Daphnia pulex: one gene and its partners. The protein of the gene in region 6 purifies or fractionates together with the protein of the main gene of each other region. This does not show direct contact. Links are inferred from orthologs where the notes say so. Each region holds a gene or a part of one and is shown on either strand. Other genes may lie near its edges. The genes, in order: ruvB-like helicase 1, protein UBASH3A homolog, ALK tyrosine kinase receptor-like, src substrate cortactin-like, synaptojanin-1-like and growth factor receptor-bound protein 2.

Region 1 (4,091 bases), on a different chromosome or scaffold from region 6:
AAGAACTAATCTGTGTACTTTTATGGATTGACCTTCAGCAGCCAGGACTACATCTACCAGACTTTCTCTCACGAGCAAAGAGTCGAGGACGGATACCAGAGTACTGTGATGATTGTTCCATTTGAGACAAAACTCTTGAATGTCGTGCTGGCCCATCATCGCAGGCACACACGTCCACCTGTTTTAATTCGGAAATGCACAACCAGACCCTTGGTATTTTTCACCAAAGCCTTCGTGAGATAACAACAACAATTCACCCCTATGAGAAGACCAATTTATGGCGTTGGCGAAATTCTGAGACCAGTAATTCGAACCAGCTTATGATCCAGTGAGTTAACAATCCAGCAGGTGTGTTGTGTATAAAAATTCACAAAGATTGAAAGACGCCATCTCTAACAAGTATTTTTCGTCTGCTATTTGGCGCGGCGTCGTTGTCAAATCAAAATATCCGAGGTGAAATTTTTCCCCTGTTCAGAATTCAATCAATGTTTTTAGTAAAGCTCGATCCATTTTAATGTATTTTAATCGTTCAAAACGGCTTCCTGTTTTTATTTTGTACACCCGTTTTTAGATGAAAGAAGTTAAAAGTCCGTAACTTTTGAGAGAGCAGCTATCCAACGACACCAAGTTTCGAATAGAAAAGCGGTACACAGAGCTAAATATGTTGGTCATGAGAAATGTGTTTAGAAAAATGGAAGCGGAGTAGCGTGACGAACTGAATTGGTTATTCGTGGAGGATAATTTTATTAAGAAAAATGGAAAGAAACACACAGACCAGCAAATTTGACTCGATTCCTCATTTCATGTACTTGTCTTTGTCTTGCGTCAGGATCTTGGCTGATGATTTGGCATCGAGAAACAGACCTCCGACTTCTTTTATATCTTCATTGGTGATGGAAGAGCGACCGTTAACTTTAGCTGTCAGGGCGCCGGGTGTAAGTAGCTGAACCGCATACCTAAACCAAGAACATTTGATTGTTTAATAAGATCATTTTTTTGCTTTACAATTTTTGTTCTTACCTCAGAGTAGTTCGATTGCCAAGTTCACCAAGAGCTTGGAGGGCATCGTCTTCAATGCTCAATCCTTCTGTTTTGGCACGAATGCGGATAATTTGTACCATCTCTTCGGCGGTGTACTTCATCGTCCGAAGAATGAGAAGTCTGTCGAGTAGATCAAGAGGAATACCATGTGGAGCCACAATATCATCGGTACCCCTGACTGTGCACATGCCTCGATTAGTGGCAAAGATAACGATGGGGGCGATAGCCGATTCCAGCGCTTTTTGGAGATAGGTAAAGCATTCCATGTCCTGAAATTCAATTAAAATCAATCACTAACTTTGAATATCTTTATTTTTATTGGTCTATTACCAGCATGTGAACTTCGTCGATGAATAACACGCCGGGTACAAGCTCTGCAATTCCCTGGTCAATGTACTTGTTGACTACCTTGTTGATTTCTCTCCTCAGCTTGTCTACAATTAAAATGTAAATTTAAATCTTGGTAAGCATTTTTGAAGTATATGAAAATATTACCTGTGATTTCGGTTTTTTTCGGCTTCATTAGCTGTCCCATCATGGAAAGAATGTCTTGGCCTCCCTGTGGGCGGGCATTAGCCACGTCCAAATCGTGTAGGGTGACGTCCTGGACAATTTCTTTCTTTTTGTGAACATCGCCTTTAGGAAGAGGGACATATTCTTCGGCTTCGAGATCGAACTCGGTGGCAAACGTATCAGATCGGCCTTGACGTTTAACCGCTCCGCTATTGGCTTCAATGTAAATGACGTCACCAATTTCAACACGTTCCTTCTGGAGAGATTCGTAGATGGAAGGATCCAACTTGAGCTGCTTTGTTCCTTTAGCCGTCTTCAGTCCAATGATTACATGACTGACAGTTTTGCCATATCCTGTAAAACAAATAACTGGTAGTAAAATTTGTCATAAAAATCAACTGAGTTGTTAACTTTTACCTCCCATAGGATTCTCAGTTTCAACTGGGGTAAGTTCAATGACTTCTCCTTCATAAACTTCTTTCGTTTCCTTGATACGAAGGCCAATAGCTCTACGAAAGTTTTCCATTAAAACTTCAGTTTTCTTGATTTCAGTGCTGAAGACTTCTGAGCCCACCATAGGACAAAAAGGAACCTGTATATGAAATTTTAATTTTCAATTTCTTCAACTTGTAAACAGTTAAAGCAGGACTGACCTTGTTGCCTAAATCTTGAGCAATTGCCATGGCGAGGGCAGTTTTGCCAGTTCCTGGTGGCCCGGCAAACAACACAGCCCTTCCAGCCATACGTTTAGACCTGATCAAATCCACCACCAAACCAGCTGCCTGTGAAATGTAGAGCAAACAGTTGTTGAGTACATTTCTCTTAGAAAACTGAAAAAAATTGTGTGTTACCTCTCTGGCTTGCGTTTGGCCAACAAGGCCGGCAGCGATGTTTATGGCATTGCCGGATTCATCCAAACCGAGACCCTTCACGTGGCTGTGAGCCGAAATTCTTTGAGTTTTGACCGTGCTTCTAACTTCTTCAATCTTCATTTTGTTATTTATAAAAGACTTGCAAATTTACAGAAAAAATGTGGACGCCTTAAGAAGAACACGAGACGAAGTTGCTTCAGGGTTTCTATGGTAACAACCGGCAGTCCCGCCAGATTAAACGCCACCTGGTAGACCTTGACTCAACTGTGTAGTAAAAGGATTTTTTTTTAAGCAGAATGTTTTTTGTTTTTTACCCTTTTTTAAAAGAAAAAGCACCATGGAAGAAAATTTACATGCAAATCATTCTGTAAGTTTTAAATTATCAAGCACCAGGATTCGGCAACCAGGCTATCGGGTTGATGGGGTCCATGGGGATTGGCTGCTCACTGAGATCTAAGATGATTTGAGTGGTTGCCGAAGCCGTTAAACGAAATTAAACTGAAACACCTGTCGTCTGGTAAACAAACAAGCTTGTTCTTTCTTCTATTCATTGATTCATTTCGATTTCATGTTTCACTGGGAAGTGCTAAAATCTTTTACATCCGTCGCAGTAGTCAAATTGTTACAAGCGTGTGACGAAAGTCGTGAAGTTTGTCTGCAGTTATTTCCTCAATTTCAAACACAAACAAACAATTAGCCTATACGAACCCCATTATAGACTTCAAACGTGCCTTCACTTAAAAGTACTAATTAAAGAATAGATCCAACAATAGTTTCGTTTATCTATTTCGTGTATGACCTACACATTTTTCATACACACGCAGGAATAGGCGAAGGAGAGGTGCGGCAAAGTAGACACGCTGCAAGTTCGATGACTTGACACATAACACGCATTGATGCTGTAGTCTTTTTTAGAATGTTGTCGTCTTTTTAAACACAGAGTAACAGAATATTTCATGGCTGTTGTTATTTTGTTGTCTGGTATTTTCGGCACATTGGAGAAAGAATAATGGAAACCGTTGTTTTCAAACTCGTTATCAGTAAATATTAGAAAGCTCGCTGTTTCACTGCTGAGCGCGAGCACTCGAACGTGAATGTGCCCTCAATTTTCTCAAACTGATTCTCATTAAAACATTATCTGGTGCATTCGCATGCGATTATTTGCTAACTAAACTCTCCTCGCTCCAGAAGGTCATATAAAACAAAAATGGAGATGAAACTACTACCAAAACACCTTTTCGTTTCGAAATGGATTAAATACTGAGCTCGATTTGACATACAGAACCCGTTACAAGGTATATTTTTATTTTAAAATGATACATCACATTCTTATCGGTTTTTTTAACAATAATTCTTTATTAATTAGTACTTCAAAATGCCTTCCGATTAAGAACGAGAATGATCTTTGACGCCTTTTGTGGAATTTGAATGATTGGATGAGTTGGCGGAAACCTGGCTGAATGATCCCTCATTGCAAACGGCGGTGGGAGAAAGTCAAGCCCATATATCTTGCAAGTTTGTTAACACTTTCACTTTTGTACTTATCTCTTCTTACTTATACTTACTTCTCTTTGAACCAAAAAAGGATGAGTCAAGGGCCTCAAGAGAGGCTAACGGCATACAGCAGTACCTTCAAGTGCTCGTACTAGCTACTGAAACCCGTTG
Region 2 (3,952 bases), on a different chromosome or scaffold from region 6:
CAACGGGGCTTACTACCAATTTCCTCGGCTGAATCATCGGCCGGCTCTTCTGGACACTGTTGCTGCTGCTGCTGCTGGACGGCGGCCAAACTGCAGTAAGGGATCCGGTGGACGATTCTCGATAACTCCTGAGCCGATCGCGGTAATCCACCCACCAGCTGTCTGGAACAGGCATCCAGCGTCGAGGCATGTCCGATCAGGAGAACGTCTCCACCTTTTTCGATTAAAAGATAATTAAGTCTCAAATGAGAGGGATGGATCAAGACTCTTTTGAAAATCCAATTTGAATGTTACCGATGTGCTCAGTGCAGCGGAGGGCGCACTGGGTGACGTAATGCGAGCGCATGTAATACTGTTCAGCTGACTCACGCCGGTCGCAAAGCTCGCTAAAGTCGATAAAGTACTGGTGCTGCTCGCGGAGACGGAAGCCGGCGTCCAGCATCTCCGAAGGTGTGAGAAACTGCGGCATCGAGTCCTGATACCAGGCCAGCCACTCGAACAATCCCGGCTCCAAACTAATCGGGATCGACTGCTCAATCTCCAGGCCTTTCAGAATGTTCTGGCACGTTTGCAGCGAGCGAAGCGAAGGAGAGCAGTAGACGTGCTGGATCTTGTTGGATTCGCCAGCAGAGCGTAAAGCTTGGCCTAAAAGTCCAGCTTGCGTTTCTCCCAGGATAGTCAACGGGCAATCCTTGAAGAAAGACTCGGGCGATCCCTGACGTTTGGGAACGCTCAGAGGCATGTTCAGATCCTTACGGACGTATTTACCTGTAATGCAAGATGAACGAATAATTTTAAAATTCAAATTTTCTATTAATTTGAATAATCCGACATACCTGATTCATCGAAGCAGTAAGGAATCCAGGTGCCAAATGTAAAATCGACCCTTTCTCCGTGGCGGACTATAAACAACCGTCGAGGACCCTGTTTGAAGGCTAGAGGCCGTTCAACCACAGGAGACAATCCGGCCATATCTAAATCGGAATTGACGTAGTTTTCCGTACATTTTGAAAGCTCTGTTGGTCGAACGGCCACCCCTCTTGGTGGACTAATTTCCTGGCGAACGGTGGGTGAACTTTTGCCGCTGTTAGAACCCAATTCCGGCGACACTTGACTCAACAATCTCCGGGCTTGATCGCTTGATGCTGAAATTCCGTCGATTTCGTCCAAGTCGTCAGCGGATGGATTCAACTCCACACTCCTGTTAACAGCAGTTTGATGTTAACAAGCAAATTCGATTATGAACTATCTAATTATATGGGCGGTACTTGTGCAGGGTCCAGGCGTCCGATTCGGCAGTTTTCTCGACATAATTCTTTGGCAGAAAACCCGAACAACCTGAAGAAGCCGCAGTTTCTAAATCGAATTCAAGAGAATAATAGTTTTTAAGAACTTATTTACCAGTAAGCCAGGAGATGCCTTCGATCCACCCGTCGATGGAATTATTACAGGCTTCAGGATCGACGTAAACAAAATCGCCCAGGAGCAATTCCAGTTCGTCCGTTTCACGGGGAACGTGCGGGAAGACGACCTTGTAGACTTTCTTCCCTGAAAGGCGGATATCTCTCGAGTAAAGTCGTAGTTGCCAATGAGAATAGCCATTGTTGGGATTCAGAGCTCTAACAAGATATTCCAGTGTGCTGAATTGACCAGATGGAAAATTGTATGCCAACGTCAGGTGAAGGGCTTGTGTGTGGGCTTCCGCTGCAACGTCTGTAAAACACGCAATAAGAATCAAAGCTAATGAAACGTTCTGGAGCCATAAAATAATAATCTCGTAAATGTATACTGATTTGCGCTAGTTCCCTAGCAAACCGAGAAGCCATGACTTTGATGACTTCAGCAGAGTCTTGATTGAGGAAGAAGCCCATAAAGTTTTGTGAAATGTAGGTCTCTAGTCTTAATTCAGGAATGGGGTGGCTCTCATGCTCTGTAATCCTCTCCAGGAGGCTCACAATGCTGGGGACACTGCTGTCAGGTACCTAACATCAATCACTCAGTTACAATGATGCCAGTTTCAGTAGATATATATATTGTTGATAAACCTTGAAAGGGGGAACTAGAGTGACATGGGGTAGGAACTCATGAGCACCGTTTCTGCCACACTCTCGAACTGATCTGGCCCAAAATTCCTGCAATTGACTTTGCAGATAGCCAGCCGGACACAGGTAAAGAAGATACTCTCTAGGCTGTTGGTCATCTAAGGTGGGGTCGTTCACATGGGCCAGCAACCAGTCTGATGCTAACTGAACATTTCTGTATCCAGTTGCAGCGAGGGCTTTTTCCCTGTAAAAGCAACAAACAGAATTACATGTTGTGCCGAGTATTATGAGCTACAGGGTGACTTACGCTCTGTGTTTTGGAAAACCCATCTGCAGGAGAACCTGCAGAGGTGAGATCAACAGCTTTGTCAATTTTGTCGGAGTTGCATTCTTTCTGGGTGGTAGTTCAGCCATGTCTCTCAAGACGAATACTTTTAGTTTGCACGGTGACGCATATGAGCAGCGATGAGATAAGAATCCCTAATAATACCGAAATTCGATTTTAATATCCCGATAATGTCTCTAAATATAGTGGAATGGTGTTGAAGATAACATGGCCAGTGGACTGTAATGAAGAAGAGCAATTAAATTAAGATCGAATAAAAATTTGTAAACATCTTCAAACCTTTTCATGACTCGAACGAATTTTCATTAACAAAATGAAATGACACTTATCTTTTCTGCATTTTTGTTATTTTTTTTTACCAAATAAAATGCGTTCGTGATTGCCAAATCTCTTTCGTTCAAATTTGCGGCGTATGTTTTTATTGAAAACTGGCAACAAGAAAAAGACAAATGCGAATTGAATATGTGGTTGTCTACATCGAGTAATTGGAAACAACCGGCTAGACGCGTCTCCCCTCCTCTTGGACTCAGGCCGCGTTTCTTTGCTTTTGACAGTCAAACTAAATATTGTTTCGCCCATTTATACTCGTAATATACCAGGTAATACAGTTTATTGATACACAAATTTTGATATCGTGACTAAGCTCCGTTTTATTCAACTCAAACTCAACGGTTACAACTGCTCGTTCTATCGTCGTTTGCCATCAAAGCACCTGCCATGTCGTCCCGCCATCAAGACTGGGATCCGCGTTGTAAAGTCTATGTTGGCAATCTAGGCTCTAACGCGGCCAGAGGCGAGATCGAAGAAGCCTTCAGCAAGTACGGCACACTGAGAAATGTCTGGGTAGCAAGAAATCCCCCTGGCTTTGCCTTTGTTGAATTTGAAGACCCGAGAGATGCAGAGGATGCAGTTCGTGCCCTTGATGGAGTGTGAGTTGCAGTTGATTATTGACAACAAACAATCTGTTATTTATGCTATTGTGTTTCACAGGCGTTTATGTGGTGCCAGAGTGAAGGTGGAAATGTCTACAGGCAAGAGGAGAAGTAATGGCTTTGGTGGAGACCGTGGTGGACGTGGTGGAGACCGCAGAGGAGGTGGTGGGCCTCCAGCAAGGAGAGGTGGTGGATACTCACCCAGACGATCACGTTCACGCAGTCGTGATCGTTTCCGCGACAGGAAAGCCTCTCGATCAGTCTCTCGCGACCGAGTTCGCAGGTAAGATCCTTAACTACTGACATTTTCTTCCTGTTGCAAAAGCCATCAAAACAAACTTTTCTTTTTGTTATTGCAGGGACTCACGCAGTCGTTCACGTTCCCCCAGCTACAGCAAGTATGCCGATTAATTGATTCCGGTCTATCACATACACACACACACACTTACCTGTTGTGCAGATAATAATTTTCAAAGCAGAAGCTCCTCCACTTTTTCTCTTTTCTCCTTGTCGCTGTGAAAAAAAACCGTCATTCACCTCCTCCCCTACTATGATTCCCCTCCTATTTGGCATCCATTTTTTTGTGTGTGACCAGCAGTGGCGTCAGCTGCAATCCTGGGCTTTTCATCATT
Region 3 (4,283 bases), on a different chromosome or scaffold from region 6:
AACTTCAAAGAATATTCATGTCTTAACTTTCTCGCTCTCTCCCTCATGACCGCAAACATATTGCGCAATACTCGCCAGAGGGGGATAACTTTGAGGAATCTGATTCTGGATGATTCACGCCACTGTACTCTGAAGAATCGATTGTCTCTGAGCATCAGGAAAAAGAATATGTGTAATAACCAATCATGTCCGAGTTATACGACAGATATCCTTGGCTGTCTTTTTTCTATGAGGACGGATGACCTCCCTCCATCTATCTCATCCGCCTATCGATATATATAGATGTTGTTTTTATGCACTATCGGATCCGGTCGGCTCGCAGGCCACGGCTCGGGGCATTCCGGAGCGGAAATGTGCGTCTGACTTCATCCGTCTCTTCTTCTTTCTCTTTGGTCAATCTGATGGTCCATCGTCGAATGTTTTTTTTGCTTTTCTTTCTTTTCCTTTTTGGGTTGTTACTTTTATTATTTTTTTTTTTACTCGACGTTCGTGACGATTCAGTCTCATCGGTAAAAATAGATGATGCAATAACCATCTACAACAACAACAACCAAAGTTAAGGAACAGACTTGACTCGCATGGATAACGAGTTGCTGGCTGCAGTTGTACACTGCCGCACTGCACGTTCAATTACTAGCGTTTGACATCGCGGCAGTTGTAGTAGGTACGGTAGTAGTTTAGCTCGTGAGTCTAGGACGAACAACAACATCAAATGACATGGGCAAAGGATCCCGCCTCTTTTGATTGTTTTGATAGGGTTGTTACCAACTTCCAATAAGGAAAGGAACAGCGGGTGAACGGGAATACAAAGTTGGAGGATTTTCTGGAATTCGAAATCGATCGATAATAGTAAGCAAGTCATAATTGCTGATTGCAATCTAGAGCTTATCAACTGTGAGGGGGAGGATGGGGGGGGGACTCCTAATTTGCATCGCCATCTCCGGTTTGAATAGGCCGTTAAAGTCCTTTTGAATAAAGGCACGAGCTATATAGGCAACGGGCTCGGCTGTTTTTGTGTGCATTTGCAGCTCCTGTATAGACGATGAGCTACAGCCTAGTCCAGAAATATTCCTCCGGAAGGAACGAATAAAGAAGGGAAAGAATGGGCGGATCCGTAGTTGAAAGCGGATGCGTTGCCATCCTGATCAATCCATCGTTTTCGTCAACATCAAATAATGGATCCCGAAGAAAAAAAATGTGAAGAAAAGAGAACATGTTAGAACGACGTCGAATGAAGGAGGGGGTAGAGAGAGAGAGAGAAATTGATAGAGCCAAAAGTCAGTGCTGCGGAGTAGCGCCTGCGTAGTCCCGACTAAGCGGAACCAATAGAGACGGAACAAGAAGGACAGCAGCGTGCCAATGTGTTGATTTTTTTCCCCCTTTTTCTGTTTCTTTCTCTTCTTCTTTTTTCGAATCGTGTAAAATCCCTTCCTGCGCCAGTTGCAGACCAGAGCTTCTTGGTGTTAAGTCGCTCTTCCATCCGCTCCTCCACATCCACATGGAGCGTCGGCGGCGATTGCTCTTGTTTTGGCTTTTTGTTTCGACTGTGGTGATCCAAAGTCCGGATGGTGTCGGCTCCTGTTATTTGGGCACTTTTGCCGAATCGCTTCCGCGGACGGTCAACTGGCCGTCGGCATCGACATTCCTCGATCCTTGGCGTCAAATTGTGCCCTTTTTCTTTCATCCGCCGGAATTTTTGGACCGTTGGGCGAAGGCGGATTTCGCCCTGCTGCATGCCAGCCTCTCTCTGCCTTGTTCCGTCCTCCAACATCAGCCGGAAGTAGTTTTGTTGCCGGAAGCCTGGATTGAATTCCTCCCGGCGTTGGAGGATGGTGCTCGATATGCGGCGGTCGACCAGCAGCCGGCCCGTCCGTATTTCGACATGTGCGACCTGTTCGGCGCATCCAATATCAGTCGTGATTCAGTTCCAGGATGCCAAAATTGGCATCATCTAGAGGCGTGGAAACGTTTGCGGATCTTTTACGACATCCCGTCGCCCATCCGAGCGGCCGAGACCGCCACGGCGCATCGCCTACAGTGCGGTGAAAGTGAAAATAATAGTAATAGCAGCAGCAGCAGCACTAGTGGCGGTGGTGGTGGTAGTAATTCAACTTGGACTATCCCAGTGTCGTCTATGGTGAAACGATGGATGGCCGAACGGTCTCCCTGGACTAGATCCAATGCCACCATGCCTATAGCGATTGTTTCCAGGCATCAATCGTTTTACGGCCGGCATCACAGTTTACTATCCGTCCAGGCCGAATTGCATCTCACCTATTGGATGGATAGTGAGTAAAATAGTAATAACGCTTTTCGGGGGGTATCTTTTCTTTCCTTGTGGCGCTGCTGTGATCGAAAGCCGCGGGATAATTGGAATTACCTCAACGAATTGAGTGCGCTTCTTTTTTAAGAGCTTCCAGCGACTTCCGGTCTAGCTTCGATGGATCGGGTTTATATCTTTTTATCGCGGGTCGAAGAGTGCGGTTTCAGTATTTTCCACTGCAGCGCCGGAATCCAATAAATTTGAATAAAAGAATAATAAAAAAAATCAACATACACCCAAAGTGCTTTCAGTCGACTGAGTCAGTTTGGATTTTACCCGAATGAACTCGACGTCGATGGCGTTTGACGTGTTTGATTCCCGTTTTCCTTTACTCGTTCACGACTTGTGAATCTCAACCGCTCCTAAAGAAACGTTTGACGCCCTTTCGTTTTTACATCCCCAGCAAAACCAGAACGATAATAGTTGAGTCCAAAGTTAGTCCCCTCCGTGTGTGTACTCCTTACCGGCGTAGTATTCCGCGGAAAACGATTGAGAAAAATAAAGAATAAATATTCTATCCGTCACATCAATCACGCTTGACTGGGATCACTTTGGCTCGATTTTTCCCCTTTGCAAAAAAAACCCTAACAGCTTCACATCTAATATCTACGACTCGTTGAAATTTCTTCCTATTTCCCCCTCTCTCGTCGAGTGGTGCGTGTTGCGTGATCGCCCTTTCTCACTTCCCATTGTTGATCCGCCTTCTTTGGATGTTTGGGACTCGTCCGACAAACAGGTCACTCACTATAAGCAATCAAGTGAAACGCCTTGTTAAAGAAAAAAGCAAACTGGAACTAGTTTAAAAGACGAACGTTATTTCCCGCTGGAAAAAAAAAGAAAAGAATCCAATAGCTGGATATACCCAATAATAATCTTGTCGAGTTGGTGGATTCTATTTGGTATATGGGTCTTCTATTTTTTTTTTCCGCGTGTGTTATTACACGACAACGGAACATGTCTGTGGCAATCGGATTCCTTTTTTTGCGGCTATAGATGACCTTTTCTTTCCTACTACCCACACGAACAAAAACTATTGTGATAGATGTAATGCTCTTCCCCCGCTTTTGAATATGAATAAGGGGAGGGTAAACATTTCATGGATTCCTCACGTCTAGACTTTATTTTTGCACCCTGTAAGATGCAATCATAAATATTTGATCACATATATACGCAGGAAGCGGATTTAAAAATACTTTAGCGGGTTTAGTTGAATTGCAAAATTAATTGGGCATTTTTTTGTGCTTTTCATTTATTCGTAGTAGTGCACACAAGTATACCAATTCTTTCCGTCAAGATCTCCTTGGTTCTTCTTCTTTTGATTATGTTTTCGGTGGTCCGGCAAGAGATTCCTTGGGTCTTGTCCATTAGGGTCCGTCCGAAAGAACGAACGAAGAGATCCAGTTCGCCGCGTTCCTAATGACGCAGTCTGGTAGAGTTTCTTGGATACAAATAAAAAGGGGAAAAGAAAAGAAAATGGGTGGTGGTGGGGAGGAGGAGGGAAAAGGGTGGGGTGGGGGGGGGGATAAAAGTGATTAGTCGCGTTAGAGACAAGTCAGGCGCGCGTCACTAACGCTGGACTTGCCCCGCCACGCCTTAGATTCCTCCTATATAACAGTCTTCTATTCCCCCGTCCAATCAAAACCTACTTCAGCTTAAATTGATCATCGTCAAGCAAGGCTCGCCCTCCGCTCCATCCTCGCTACTCTCCCCACAACATTTACTCGAGCACTTGATTAGATGATTCTTATTGAAGACTTTGAAAGTCTCTGCGCAAAGCAGACGAAAATAAAAGTTTTGCAGACGACCTTTGGCTCCCTCCTTTTAGACCATCAAGGGACAATGAGGCGAGGATTTACTGTTGAAAAATAAAAGGAGGCGAATGCAATTGGGAATGAAATCATGTCTGAACGGATGAAGAGACGTGAGAGAACTGAGACTCGATTATTAGCGGTCGCAAAAC
Region 4 (4,261 bases), on a different chromosome or scaffold from region 6:
TTTTTTCCTTCTCTCATGGGATTCTCTTGAAGATTACCTACATTGACTTTGTAGTCTATGAGTTATTGGACCAGAACTCTCAAATGATTCCTGGGTCAATTGATGAATTCCCAAATCTGAAAGAATTTCACGCGAGAATCGGAGGGCTAGAGAAAGTTGCAGCTTATCTGAGTTCGGATAAATGCATCAAGAATCCTTTCAATGGACCTATGGCTCATTGGGGCGGAAAATAAGCTAAATGGTGGTAACCACTATCATATCTGTAAATTTAATCTGGTTCTTATTTGTTTGGCGTTACGAGAAAAAATGTAGACTATTAAAAGTTATTCAATATTTCGGGTTAATGGGTAATACAATACAACGTTAATGAAAAATTATGGAATCCCTTTTCTGCTTTCTGCCACTTTTTTTTCCGAAGCAAAATATTTTCAATAAGTCCCCCCCCCCCCACCAAATACCGTGCCATAGGCCTACCCGGAGTTTCTTTTTATCTTATACAAATGAAATAAAATAATAAATAAACCATATGTTATTACTGTATTCTAACAAATTTTTTACAAATTCAATGACTAAACCATGTAGGCACTCCTTGTTTAGAAATATTAATGCTTGTTTTCTGGGCATACAATTCTTTTGTCTGTTTCATAGTATTAGTTTGCTCATCATAAATGTCAGTACTGCCATGAATTTCTGGGAAGACAAATTTGTGGTCTTTGTGCTAAAAAACAAACAAAACAAAATGGTTACAGTTGAAGAAACATTAAACAAGATAAGTTTTCAAATTACCAGAGTTACAAAGGCTATTTTTTCATCATTTTCCTTAGTGACATAAGTGTTGGGTAAAGTTTTTGTTTTCCCTTTAAAGAAAATTATTCTAAGTGTTAGTAAAACATCACTTATTTTAACCTCAATAATGTTGTCGTACCCATTTGGTTGTAGGTGCTGACATGAACAACAGGGAGGTTGTAAATTTTTTCAAGATATTGTTTAACATCAAGCTTGGTCATTTGTGATGAGACAACAAACTGAACTTGATTAGGTAGCAAATTGTGGCTCGGTTTGACAAGCTTCATCCAAAAGTCAGGTAGGAACACCCGTAATTTAGGACTACCGCTTTTGAAAGCTGGATATCTACATTTTTAGATTTTTTAATCGTAACTAATTATAAATTTTGAGTGAACCCAATTAAGCTTTGAAATTCTTGACTTACATTCTCGTCGACATTTTCTCAGGATGTTTGAAGCCTCAACACAATCAGTTTGATGATTTCTTGTTTACTGTTTTCGTCTGCATTGACTGCATGGTGCATGCTTGAATCTTTATGCTGCGCCAAATCATATTTCAAACTTTTCATTAATGATATTTACACTTTTATACTCATAGAAACAATTTAAATTTTTTTTTTAATTATTATTAGTAGATTTTATGACGAAATAAAAATAAGTTTTTAAAATTCATTTCCGAATGGCATTGTTGCAAGATAAACTATCCGGATTGTTTAACTTCTTATCAAATAGAAAGGGCGTGTGACTCAACTTTTAGCCGGTTTAAATTAGTATTATATCTATTTATTAAAGAATTTGTACGTCAGAGAGATCATTAATTATCACAAATAATTTTAAATTAAAATTTATTTTTCTCTCTAGATTGTAATAACATGTGGAAATCAGCAGTTGGTTCCAGCATCAAGGCTCCTGTTGTCAACCAAGATGACGATGAATGGGATACCGATCCCAATTATATTAACAACGTAACAGAAGAAGAACAACGATGGGGTGGGGGAAGAACTGCGGGTGCTATTGAGTGAGCATAAATGTTTTCTTCAAGACATTGTGTATTTACGTTAACGGTTTCTGTCAATGTTTACAGTATGAATGCTCTACGAGAGCAAACGACTAAAGAAGATCTGGAGCTCAAGAAAAAGGTAATGGCTGCAGGACCTCAAGCATCTTATGGATATGGTGGAAAATTTGGTGTACAAGGAGATCGGTATGTTTTTCTTAGAAAACTAAAATGTGAATTTCATCAACTTTTGTTTTTGTTTCTTCAGTATGGATAAAAGTGCAGTCGGGCATGAACATATCGAAAAAGTTGAAAAACATGCTTCTCAAAAAGATTACACCACTGGTTTTGGTGGGAAATATGGCATTCAAAAGGACAGGTAAGAACAGGATTCATTTTTTGTACATCTTTCCAATTTCTTACTATTATTGTTTATTAAGGATGGATAAGTCTGCAGTGGGGCATGACTATGTAGCCAAGGTTGAAAAACATGGCAGTCAAACAGATGCTGCCAAAGGGTTTGGCGGCAAGTTTGGAGTTCAAACTGATCGAGTTGATAAGGTATTTCATTAAAATATGCGCATTATTGTTTTATTTCAGTTACTTTACAGTTATGCCCACTATTTTCTCACGTTTTATTTGGATCGGTTAAATAGAGTGCTGTTGGTTGGGATTATCAGGAGAAGTTGGTAAAGCATGAAAGTCAAACAGATGGTTCCAAAGGTTTTGGTGGGAAATTCGGCGTACAAACCGACCGCATCGACAAAGTAACAAATTCTATAACTGTTTGAACAAAGGAATTTTTTCTATTGAAGTGCAATTTTTAGAGTGCAGTTGGCTGGGATTATCAAGAAAAAGTGGAGAAACATGAAAGTCAGGTGGATGGAAATAAAGGTTTTGGTGGTAAATTTGGTGTCCAGGCTGATCGAGTCGATAAAGTATAACCTACCAATGCAATGTTATTGTAATCCAACTAATTTCTTAATTTATCTTTTGTGACAGAGTGCTGTTGGTTATGATTACCAAGAAAAAGTAGAGAAACATGAGAGCCAAGTAGATGGTTCAAAAGGTTTCGGAGGAAAATTTGGTGTTCAAACAGATAGACAAGATGCAGCGGCCGTCGGTTTTGATGAAGAACAAGGTCATGTTGGTACTACTTACGAGAAGGATAAGCCAGTTATTGCGGGTAACAATAAAAATTTCCGTTAAGTTTTTCTTGGTTTGAATTTATTAAACTCATTTGGTTCCATAGAGAAAGGTAAAGCGTCTTTGCTGAAATCCCGTTTTGAAAATTTTGCTGAAGAAAACAAGAAAGCAGCCATGGTAAACGTTTGATAGTTTCTTATTACAAACAAATGTATTACATCATTTTTCATTTCTTTAGGTTGTTCCTCCTCCACCGAAGAATCCCCGCCCAATGGCTAAGATAGCACACAAATTCGAAACACAGTCGACGCCTCAAACAGAGCCACCCATTAAACAAATCCCCCAAACAGAAAAACCTGTCCGACAAAACCAATTCCTCCCAGCCAAGTCGCCTGTTATACCAGAGCCAGTCATCCGAGAAAGTCCTGTGATTTCTCCAGTTCCAGAACCTGCTAGGTCGCCTTCACCTCCACCGACTGTCGTTCCACCTGTTCCGGCACAAACTCAACAACATATCGCGCAATCCCTTGAACGATGGAACGATGATCTGGCCGAAGCTGTCGAAGAAGTGGATGATGGAGCGTGGAGGGAGCAAGTGGATGAGCAGGATGACGCCTGGAAAGACGAAGAAGAGATAGGCTACGTCCAAGAGAATTCGAATTTAGAAACAGTTGCGGAAGAAACTGGATCCGGTCTTATTGCAGTCGCCCTCTACGATTACCAAGCTGCTGCAGAAGACGAGCTCTCCTTTGACCCGGATGAAGTCATTGTCAACATCGAAATGGTAATGTTTATTAATTTATAAAATGTGTTTAGTTTCTAACCAACTCTTTTGCTGTGCAGATCGATGAAGGTTGGTGGCGAGGGGAGTGTAGAGGACAGATAGGATTATTTCCCGCTAATTACGTCCAACTGCAACAGTGAAACCCTATCCAGTTTTTTTCGTCTTCCAGGTTTTATCCAACAATCCAAGGTTCTTTTTTATTCCCAATTGTTAAGCATTCTTTCCAAGAATTTTCCTTATCTCGTAAGCCAACCATATGGCGGTTCTTTTTACGCGTGGCGTTATATTCGTGTATTGTTGTCCAGTCAGTATTCACAACGCGGTGAAGAAAAACATTACTTATTACAGATTAGTTGATTTGATGAAAATGTGTGACGGAAAAACATCGTTCTTGCCTATTATTGTGGAAAGAGAATTGCAAGTTATCCCTTATCTGCATTTAATTAAGAACCAATAATTAGATGTTGTTTGCCGACTCAAATCACAATGCTTTGTTATGATTATTGTGCCGAGATCCAACCGACCAATCTATCTTATGCAGCCTGTTGA
Region 5 (4,002 bases), on a different chromosome or scaffold from region 6:
AGATGTCCGCTGTTCGCCAACCTTGTTCCTCGCTTAGACACACCAATGATCTATTCACCAAAATACCACAAAAATTGCCATTAATAACGGACTTGGACGCAAGGAAAAGCGAAGAAACAAAAAAAATAAAATAAAAATAAAATAAAATAAACAAGTCAAAAGAATTTAAAGAAAATCCGTTAACTAGAATCTAAAGGAAAATAGACAATTACACATGCTCCAATCATTTCCAAATTGGGATGCTCTAATCATGCTAACATATATTAGTTAACTCACCCATCCCAATTCCACGAAATAAATTTTTTTAAAGGGTAAGTAAAAATGGGAGAAAATTACAGTTGGCTTTTCAGTAAATTAAGGAGTAAGTTTTACCTAGCGGCAGCTGAATCTTGATGTGGACTATCAAGCAACCAGTCGGCCAATGTAGAGTCTTTGTAAACGACACTACGGAAATGATGACCACCATTGACGTTGTATGTTCCAACTGCCACGCGAATAGGTTGCGGCTCCGTGAATTCAGAATAGCGAGAACACATGCCATGCAATATATCGGCAGGCAGGACACTCCAGTGCGGTGGTAAAAGACTGCGAGCCAGGTCAAAGATGAAATCATTCCCCGTACCTCCATGGATCAGCAAATCGAATGCTTCCTATTTTAAAAGGACCGAGTTATATTTCCAATTTCAAGCTTACGATTTAATTTCGAATTTTACCTGTTTACTACTGTCCAATAAATTATTCTTAAAAAAAATAAAAAAAATATAAATGTTATTTTAACCTTTCAAATTATACATTAAGTGGAAATAAAACACCGGGCATAGGTTACGCATAGCCTACTTGAATAGTACGAGCAGCCGAACGCGCGCCATCCATTATCTTTGATCCACCCTATTAGAAAAACACGTTCTTAATTAATTCAGAAAAAAAGAAAGAAAAAAAAAAACAGCTCAAAATAAAATTTTTAATAAAATCAATCACTTGTATAGCGCCAGTTCCAGCGTAGATTTTGCTGATTTCATTTCCATTGTTAACCCACATCGCCCGGAAAACTTCCTCAAACCTTGTCCACGTCTGTGGTTTCGTCTGGGGTTCTAGCGCCTCCAATTGTAGTGCTAACATCTCTAAACCGATGAATGTCTGCACACTTTTTTGGTAACAAAATATGCAACTATAAGTCACCAATCCACAAAAACAACCTAAATAATTAATCATACCAATTAGTTCGGTCAAGGCAGTCAAGACAGTTGGTACGAACAACTCCTTTTTGCTGTGAAACTACTCGCTGATTCTTGAGTAGGAAGAAGGAATGGCGATCTAGGATCGGCTTCAGACTTTGTTTCAATTTGCTGAGATTTTGGAGATTACCACCTTTACATTCTTGGTGGTAGTCGAACATTATGTGAGGCATTGCTTCGTAGTAGCGCTTCTGATCAGCCTGGAAGAGTTGACTAAGAGAAGCCTCGCCTTCTTTCGCACCCACCATGTTGAGACCGAGTAGATTTACAATAGCTGTGTCATGATATCTTTGCTGCATTAGTTTCAAGTGGCGTTCCAAAGCTGGCGAAGAAGCTTCAGGGCCACGAGAAAATCTGACTTTATGCGAGCCTACTTGAACACCTGGCTGTTCCCAGAAGAGGGGGACAGATCCACGAGTTTGAAGAAAAGCTGAAGCATCTCCTTGGTCACCATATATGAGTTGCTCCGTTTCAACGAAATTAGCTACATGGCCTTCGTCGTTAACGCCGCGTACATTAAATCGCGTACCAGCCCGTTCACAGCTAAGACGAGAAAAAATTGCTGCTTTGAACTGACGATGTCCTGCATAAACAGTGCGAATTTCAACGCTGCCACATGTTATCCGTAGAAGCCAGTGGGAACAGTCAATTCCATAATGTTGCAATGGTAGATGCAACAGCCTAAAAAATTAAAAATTAAGTTAAGACTTAACCCACAACACTTCCTTACTTATATAAAAATCTGGTCTATTTTGTTTGTAATTGCAAACCTATTCCAGAAAAATCTGTTGTCTGTCCCAGGATTCTGTTGGAGCTTCTGAGTACATAATGTAGCATCAATCGAGTCTTCACTTGATGACCAGAGAAAATAAAATGTGCCAGAGTTGAATAGTTTCCTCAGTTCAGTGACTCTCTCTTCTTCCACTGTTTGGGGTCCCCTCAGTGGAAAAAAACTTGTTTGATTGATTCTAAACACTTCTGACTCCCCAATCTTTCCAACTGACACACAACCTGTAACCATGACTAGATATTGTAAGGGTCCATCTCCTACAACCCAATATAAAAAAACTTAAATTAGATTCTAAAAATATGAAAAACTTAAATTATTTAACAAACCTGTACTGACTAACAGTACTCCAAGGCATCCATAAGCATCAGAGAGTTTTGTGTATGATTTTTTCACAACTTCAACCTCAGCAGATCCTAGTTAAAATGGTATACATTTTGGTTATTTGTATGTGAGAATAAAAAGAACTTTGCTTCGATTACCCAAGGCAGCAATTACTAGAGATTCAAATAAGAGAGCTTCGTCTCGGTTTCGTTGTTCGAGTAAAACACTGTACGGTCCCTGTCCATTGACTTTATGCCATATTTTATAACTTTTTCCCATAGCCATTTTTGATGGCTCACTTTAACAATACAACTTTTAAAAATAAAATGTGCGCTCACATTAGCTTTTACGTGACTTAGAATGGAATTGATACGCTCGGCTCGTTCTCGCACATTCGTCTGTCAAAAAGACAAAAATCAGAATGTCAAAGTAGCACAGTCGGGATCAGCTGTGCAATGTGCTGAATCATAGAGGATAGGAAACTAGCTATCAAACTAGGAACGAAAATATGATGAAAGCGCTCGCCGCGCCCCCATGCTGCAGTGTTCGGAAGATCAATTGGGAATTTAAATTGGAAATGATTAAATCGCGATTTAAATCAACTTTTGGGTGATTTTGATTTTGATCTTAAATCATTTTGTCTTTTATGATTTTTTTGGTGATTTTTCGATTTTAAATCACATTTTTATAAATCAAAATCAGAAAGCAAATTTTTCCCCAAAACTATGTTCAATGATCCAAATTTCTAATTCGTATTCGTAAAAAAATTCGTACAAAAAAACCACCTTGGTGGGGTTGGGGTGTGCAAATGAGCGTGAATGCCAGTGCCCGTAAAACATGTTTTAAAGTTTTGAGTTTTACGGGGCTGACGCGCTGCCCAAGCCGGCCTAAAGGGGGGGTGGGGTAGGGGGTCGAGCGGGGGAATTACGCACATCCCTGGGAGAGGGTAAGGGGGTTATATATATGGTATATGTTTACATTTACAAAACTTACTCAAATATAAACGAAAAAACGAGGTCTTTGCATGAATAAGGGATCGGGTGGAAATTAATATGATTCGAATCAGTTTTTCACGCTGATTCTCACAGTATGTTTATTTTATTATCAAAATTATAATTTCCCCACGTAGAATATCTTATCTAAGTTGAGATAAGCTCCCCCCACTTTAAAACGGACCCCACGCAATTTTTGGAGGGCGGTTCTTTTAATGTGGTGAAATTGCAGAAGACCTTAATCCAAATCACCGTTTTCATGCTGCCTACAACCCTCTTTTGCCTAAAGGCCAAATACAGATAAGGTGGTGTTTTGCTCCACATCGCTGGCTCCTGCACCGGCGGTGCACCGGCGGTGGGGATTCAAGCAGTCAATTTTTTTGTGGAGACCAAAGCAGTTTGAACATCTTTTTTGGTTTGTGATGATCGTCTTCTTTTCCTCCAGCTCCATTGTGCAGTTTACATGCAGAAAACGCAGGGCAGCGTTTGTTTTTTTGGGGTTGGAGCTGCTGCTTCTCTCCTTGGAGGTGGCGCCTTGTTTTTCCTGGGTCTGTTAAGAGATTTGGATTGGGTAGTCGGCTTACTGCTTACTCCGAGCTGCCTTTGGGTGTTGTTGCTGCTTTGACTAGTTGTGGAATTTGTACCGGCTTTGGGTTCTGTACCC
Region 6 (3,953 bases):
CGACCAAAGCCACATCTAATGGCAATCCCGAAAGCTGTGTGCTTGAGGGGAAATACAGTCGAAAATCGAGGTTAGAACAACATAAACGGAAAAAAACTGAAAAGAAAGCAATTTTACAAACTGCTTTCAATGAGAAATGAGATGCAATCCTGTCAATCCTAGCTGTTCATCACTTTTACTGTTTTGTTATCAAAGTTAGTAATGTGTTTAGGTTCGAAGTCGGCAAAAATAACTTGAGTCTTAAGAACGGACGCACCACTTTAATACAAAAAGAAAAAAAAAATGAAGAAAAATTTATGAAGAAAAGAAAAGGAGCAAAAGAAAACGAACGAACAGTGCCTTCGCCTTTTAAGTATGATACGGGGCAACGTAAGTGGCAGGAAAGAGGCCGCGGCGGGCGCCAATTTCTCCAGTCCACCAATGTTGATCAGAACGGTCTGTCACAGTTATGACGTCGCCTCGCTTAAATTCCAATTCACCTGGTTCTTGCGGGGTGAAATCGTATAGTGCCTGCACCAAGAACTGTCGAAAATTCACACAACAATTGTTAGTCAATCCTGAGCCTAAAGGCATGGAAAAAAGAACAACTGGTAACTCACCTCTTCAGGCACCATGTCTCGTAACTTTATATCCTGAGACCGAGAAACAGATGTGGAGCGATGGTAGTCGACCAGTTCGTTGAGCGAGTTGAATTTTACCACCCACAAAAAGAACTTCCCTTGGGCATCGCGAAGTACTTTGAAGTGCTGGACACCATCGCCACATCTGCGAGACAAGAAAGAAAAAATAGAGAATAGCCTATTAACACAGAATGCACGTAACAAAGTATTGTGTAAATTTCAAACTAATTTCGAACTACAAGGAAGTAGGATGATGGCTTCCTTAGCTATAAACAAAACACACTCATCCTACAACTTAACGGGCAAAAACCTCAAGAAGGAATAAATAACACAGCAGGGCGATGAGAGAATTGTAAAAACTAAAAATGATGCAAAACTCCGGTTCAAGGCACATATATAGTTGCTTGATTACGGACGGTGGCTCAGTGGTAAGGGAACTTGACGAAAAGGCCTAACAGATAGAAAACAGAATGTACCCTAGACACGCCTAACAAGGCTAATAAAATACCAAAAAGGATAAAACTAATTACTGAAAACAGTAGGACTGACGGTTCATGAATCACGAGTCACGACTTAAGCAAAGGGTAGTCACTGCACGAGTTCCAATTTTACAAGCTGTCTTTGTTTTTTTAAGGTAAAACAAAATAGACAATTGAGATTCATTCCACCTTTGAAGTGAATAAAATTGGAATGTAAACGGATGTGTGCGTCATCAGGTTGACTCATGCACTGCATTTGGAAAGAATTCTTGCGTGATCAAATCAAATTTCTACAGAAAACCAAATACCCATGATTCTTTGAGGGAAATAGAAATAAACTGTACGTTCGGTTCATTAATTTTCTATTCAAACGCGTCTTCCTAGTAAGGTAGAACTTGTATCGTACAGTTTGGAGAGCGAGATTATAAGATATTTGATTTTACACTGATGAAAGCCTGCATGTTTGAAATTCTTTTCACGCTTCAAATGTACGTGTAGCGTCTAATCAGGATATCTGAATGCAAAGCGATATTTCTCAATATGTTTTTATAATGTGCTATTTCTACATAAATATTTTGAGAAATCTTCCCGTTTTAGGCAGTTAACGACTTACAAGCTTAGTTAATAGATGTCAACTTATCTCATTCAGATGTTCTAATGATAAGTAGTCTGGTATGCCACAAATAGATTTCAACAACATTTGAGAATAGGCAAATAATAACATCAAACATAGTAGAAGAATTCCTATGGGGCATTTCTAAACTATCTAGAGCTCTTGGTTAAGGATTTACACTGTCTATGTTTCTAAACAAAATCTATCACATTGTTATTTTAAGAACTAGATAACATACTTAACAGACAGGGAAAAGTCTCCCGGTGAGCTCTCACTGACTCTAACAACAAAAGCGCCTTCATGTTTGTTGCCCAAGAGTTTCTCTGCATCAGCTCTGGTTATTCTTCCATAGTACCAACTGTAGAAAATAAAACAACAAGTTATAATCAATATGCATTATTTTATCATAAACATTTCAACTAGGCTTACTCATGATTTTTCATTTCAATGTAGTTACTAGGAATCAACCCTTCTTTTCCATCCAATTCTGCTCTATACCAATTCAGATCATCTTCCATATTCAGAATCTACATTTGAATCAAATGAACAGGTTAGAATATTGCTATAAGCAAAAATTCCTTAAATTCTGTTGAAAGCATCATTGCTTGGTTTACCTTGAGAACTTGCCCTTTTCGAAAACTAAGCTCATCTTCAGCAGTGGCATTAAAGTCATGTTTAGAATTGGCCTCCATCTCGAAAATAACACGTTTTATGAAATCACAGATGATAAAGTATTTCTTGGCAAAACAAGCTTCAGAGAAGGAATTTCCTTTTCAAGGCTAGGCCGGATGTGCACCACGGCTACGTTTATCAAGTGAAACGGTTGTTGGCCAATCACCAAAATGTTTTGACTTCGTTCAAAGTCGAATTACACTTCTCGAAACTCAAAAACGAATAGCATTTCCCACAAATTGTTTGACAATATTGACTATCAACTGACGTATCCGTATCCACGATTGTTTGATTAACTATACACTGTTTTCGGGGCCCGACGAAAGCCAGACAGCCATAATTTTGGGAAACAACTTAGTTCTTGGCTTTGACGCACGAGCGTCACCAGTCCTTTTCTCCCAATGGAATTTTAAAGGTAAATGCTTGCGTGCCTGTAAACGTTTTTTATTTTTTCTAACTATTTTTTTTCCAAATGACTGAAATTATTTAAAATATTATTTCAATTACAGGAATATACATTTTTTATAATACAACATAATAGATGAATATTTTAAGATTTTAAATATTTAAATTTCCGTCGAATTCTTTTGGAAAAAGCAATGTGGCAACGTTATCTGCCTCATTTGAATAAATGCAAATGGTTTTCAAAAGGAATCTCGACCCAGAGATTCAGACCAGTCCGGACTTGAATTTAGAAAAGCAACGTGCAGTTCCTTTTGACTAATTTTATCGACCAAACCCTCTTACAATCTTATACAATTATTGTCAGATGATTTTCTCTTATATTGCACTGTGATTATTACAAAAATGAAGATAACTTTATATTTAGTGGCCATAATTCTCCTAGGAACTGGTAGTCATTCTAGTTTAGTAGGTTGGATTTTAGGCAGAGACAGCTCCCCTTTTAACATTTTGAGTAGTGAAAAACAATTTGATAAGCTTATGGCTGTAGCAAAAGAAGATGATAAGATTGAAGTTTCTGAACCTGATGAGAGTGCTGTGCAAGCAAGGTCTGATATTCCATTTGAGCTGTCTGTAGCTGATGAAAAATTCATTGCCGATGCACAGAAATATACTGACCTTAGTCTGAGCGAGCTGGATGTTTGCCAGCATAAAGTAAGTAAAGTACTTTGATGTTGATTCAAAGTACAATCTCACTGTTCATTAATATTAATGAACTCGTTTATAGTTAATCCTTCAATTGAAGCAAGACTGCAATGATCTCTCAGAGGAAGATTTGTCTAAGTTGGGTGTGAATCTTTTAAACTGCCAATCAAGATTGGAAGGGCGGAGAGTCTACCCATGCTCCTCTTCAATGGCAAGTTTTCTAATTAATGTATCACTTCAGCTAGTTGTAGCTAACCAGTTTATATTTTTTAGACTTTAAGGGAATGTACTTCTGACATGGATTCCGACACCTGGAATGCCTACCATATTCTATCCAATAGAGCAAGATCAGTGTGCTACGGTGCCCGCCAACAACAGTTTAGAGCACTGACTCAAATGACAGTCAACAAACTCATGGCCAGTTCTAGTCAACAATTGGGATTCATTAGAGAGCTCAAGGTT

What was found.
Region 1: the proteins of growth factor receptor-bound protein 2 (region 6) and ruvB-like helicase 1 purify together in Homo sapiens (affinity purification with mass spectrometry; 3 studies listed by BioGRID and IntAct, with this or other methods). This does not show direct contact. The link is inferred for Daphnia pulex from reciprocal best matches to the Homo sapiens genes GRB2 and RUVBL1.
Region 2: the proteins of growth factor receptor-bound protein 2 (region 6) and protein UBASH3A homolog purify together in Homo sapiens (tandem affinity purification; 3 studies listed by BioGRID and IntAct, with this or other methods). This does not show direct contact. The link is inferred for Daphnia pulex from reciprocal best matches to the Homo sapiens genes GRB2 and UBASH3B.
Region 3: the proteins of growth factor receptor-bound protein 2 (region 6) and ALK tyrosine kinase receptor-like purify together in Homo sapiens (affinity purification with western blotting; 3 studies listed by BioGRID and IntAct, with this or other methods). This does not show direct contact. The link is inferred for Daphnia pulex from reciprocal best matches to the Homo sapiens genes GRB2 and ALK.
Region 4: the proteins of growth factor receptor-bound protein 2 (region 6) and src substrate cortactin-like purify together in Homo sapiens (affinity purification with mass spectrometry; 3 studies listed by BioGRID and IntAct, with this or other methods). This does not show direct contact. The link is inferred for Daphnia pulex from reciprocal best matches to the Homo sapiens genes GRB2 and CTTN.
Region 5: the proteins of growth factor receptor-bound protein 2 (region 6) and synaptojanin-1-like purify together in Homo sapiens (co-immunoprecipitation; 3 studies listed by BioGRID and IntAct, counting the BioPlex papers as one, with this or other methods). This does not show direct contact. The link is inferred for Daphnia pulex from reciprocal best matches to the Homo sapiens genes GRB2 and SYNJ1.

Annotation. Positions count from the first base shown.
Region 1 is NC_060023.1:12,188,576-12,192,666, forward strand, and holds ruvB-like helicase 1, read right to left. Parts: upstream 2,679-4,091; 5' UTR 2,547-2,678; coding exon 2,406-2,546; intron 2,337-2,405; coding exon 2,208-2,336; intron 2,147-2,207; coding exon 1,972-2,146; intron 1,909-1,971; coding exon 1,537-1,908; intron 1,476-1,536; coding exon 1,372-1,475; intron 1,311-1,371; coding exon 1,021-1,310; intron 957-1,020; coding exon 797-956; 3' UTR 501-796; downstream 1-500. Other genes in the region: longitudinals lacking protein, isoforms A/B/D/L-like, read right to left, coding at 1-159. UniProt on the Homo sapiens protein: Possesses single-stranded DNA-stimulated ATPase and ATP-dependent DNA helicase (3' to 5') activity; hexamerization is thought to be critical for ATP hydrolysis and adjacent subunits in the ring-like structure contribute to the ATPase activity.
Region 2 is NC_060024.1:13,150,284-13,154,235, reverse strand, and holds the start of protein UBASH3A homolog, read right to left. Parts: upstream 2,801-3,952; 5' UTR 2,668-2,800; intron 2,608-2,667; 5' UTR 2,457-2,607; coding exon 2,350-2,456; intron 2,287-2,349; coding exon 2,046-2,286; intron 1,983-2,045; coding exon 1,790-1,982; intron 1,714-1,789; coding exon 1,402-1,713; intron 1,339-1,401; coding exon 1,269-1,338; intron 1,202-1,268; coding exon 837-1,201; intron 769-836; coding exon 295-768; intron 215-294; coding exon 1-214. Other genes in the region: RNA-binding protein 1-like, read left to right, coding at 3,106-3,317, 3,379-3,603, 3,680-3,731. UniProt on the Homo sapiens protein: Interferes with CBL-mediated down-regulation and degradation of receptor-type tyrosine kinases. Promotes accumulation of activated target receptors, such as T-cell receptors and EGFR, on the cell surface.
Region 3 is NC_060021.1:6,292,310-6,296,592, forward strand, and holds the start of ALK tyrosine kinase receptor-like, read left to right. Parts: upstream 1-1,483; 5' UTR 1,484-1,498; coding exon 1,499-2,288; intron 2,289-4,283. UniProt on the Homo sapiens protein: Neuronal receptor tyrosine kinase that is essentially and transiently expressed in specific regions of the central and peripheral nervous systems and plays an important role in the genesis and differentiation of the nervous system.
Region 4 is NC_060023.1:10,192,546-10,196,806, forward strand, and holds the start of src substrate cortactin-like, read left to right. Parts: upstream 1-1,461; 5' UTR 1,462-1,582; intron 1,583-1,646; 5' UTR 1,647-1,657; coding exon 1,658-1,803; intron 1,804-1,869; coding exon 1,870-1,989; intron 1,990-2,050; coding exon 2,051-2,161; intron 2,162-2,222; coding exon 2,223-2,343; intron 2,344-2,438; coding exon 2,439-2,549; intron 2,550-2,609; coding exon 2,610-2,720; intron 2,721-2,784; coding exon 2,785-2,968; intron 2,969-3,034; coding exon 3,035-3,105; intron 3,106-3,166; coding exon 3,167-3,712; intron 3,713-3,771; coding exon 3,772-3,852; 3' UTR 3,853-4,261. Other genes in the region: 39S ribosomal protein L23, mitochondrial-like, read right to left, coding at 563-718, 787-857, 926-1,131, 1,211-1,224.
Region 5 is NC_060023.1:5,749,180-5,753,181, forward strand, and holds the start of synaptojanin-1-like, read right to left. Parts: upstream 2,801-4,002; 5' UTR 2,632-2,800; coding exon 2,505-2,631; intron 2,439-2,504; coding exon 2,352-2,438; intron 2,283-2,351; coding exon 2,006-2,282; intron 1,917-2,005; coding exon 1,215-1,916; intron 1,145-1,214; coding exon 979-1,144; intron 889-978; coding exon 838-888; intron 741-837; coding exon 714-740; intron 651-713; coding exon 373-650; intron 51-372; coding exon 1-50. UniProt on the Homo sapiens protein: Phosphatase that acts on various phosphoinositides, including phosphatidylinositol 4-phosphate, phosphatidylinositol (4,5)-bisphosphate and phosphatidylinositol (3,4,5)-trisphosphate. Has a role in clathrin-mediated endocytosis.
Region 6 is NC_060028.1:9,115,225-9,119,177, forward strand, and holds the start of growth factor receptor-bound protein 2, read right to left. Parts: upstream 2,801-3,953; 5' UTR 2,405-2,800; coding exon 2,327-2,404; intron 2,240-2,326; coding exon 2,142-2,239; intron 2,071-2,141; coding exon 1,951-2,070; intron 766-1,950; coding exon 600-765; intron 523-599; coding exon 349-522; 3' UTR 1-348. Other genes in the region: protein brambleberry-like, read left to right, coding at 3,192-3,500, 3,574-3,702, 3,765-3,950. UniProt on the Homo sapiens protein: Non-enzymatic adapter protein that plays a pivotal role in precisely regulated signaling cascades from cell surface receptors to cellular responses, including signaling transduction and gene expression.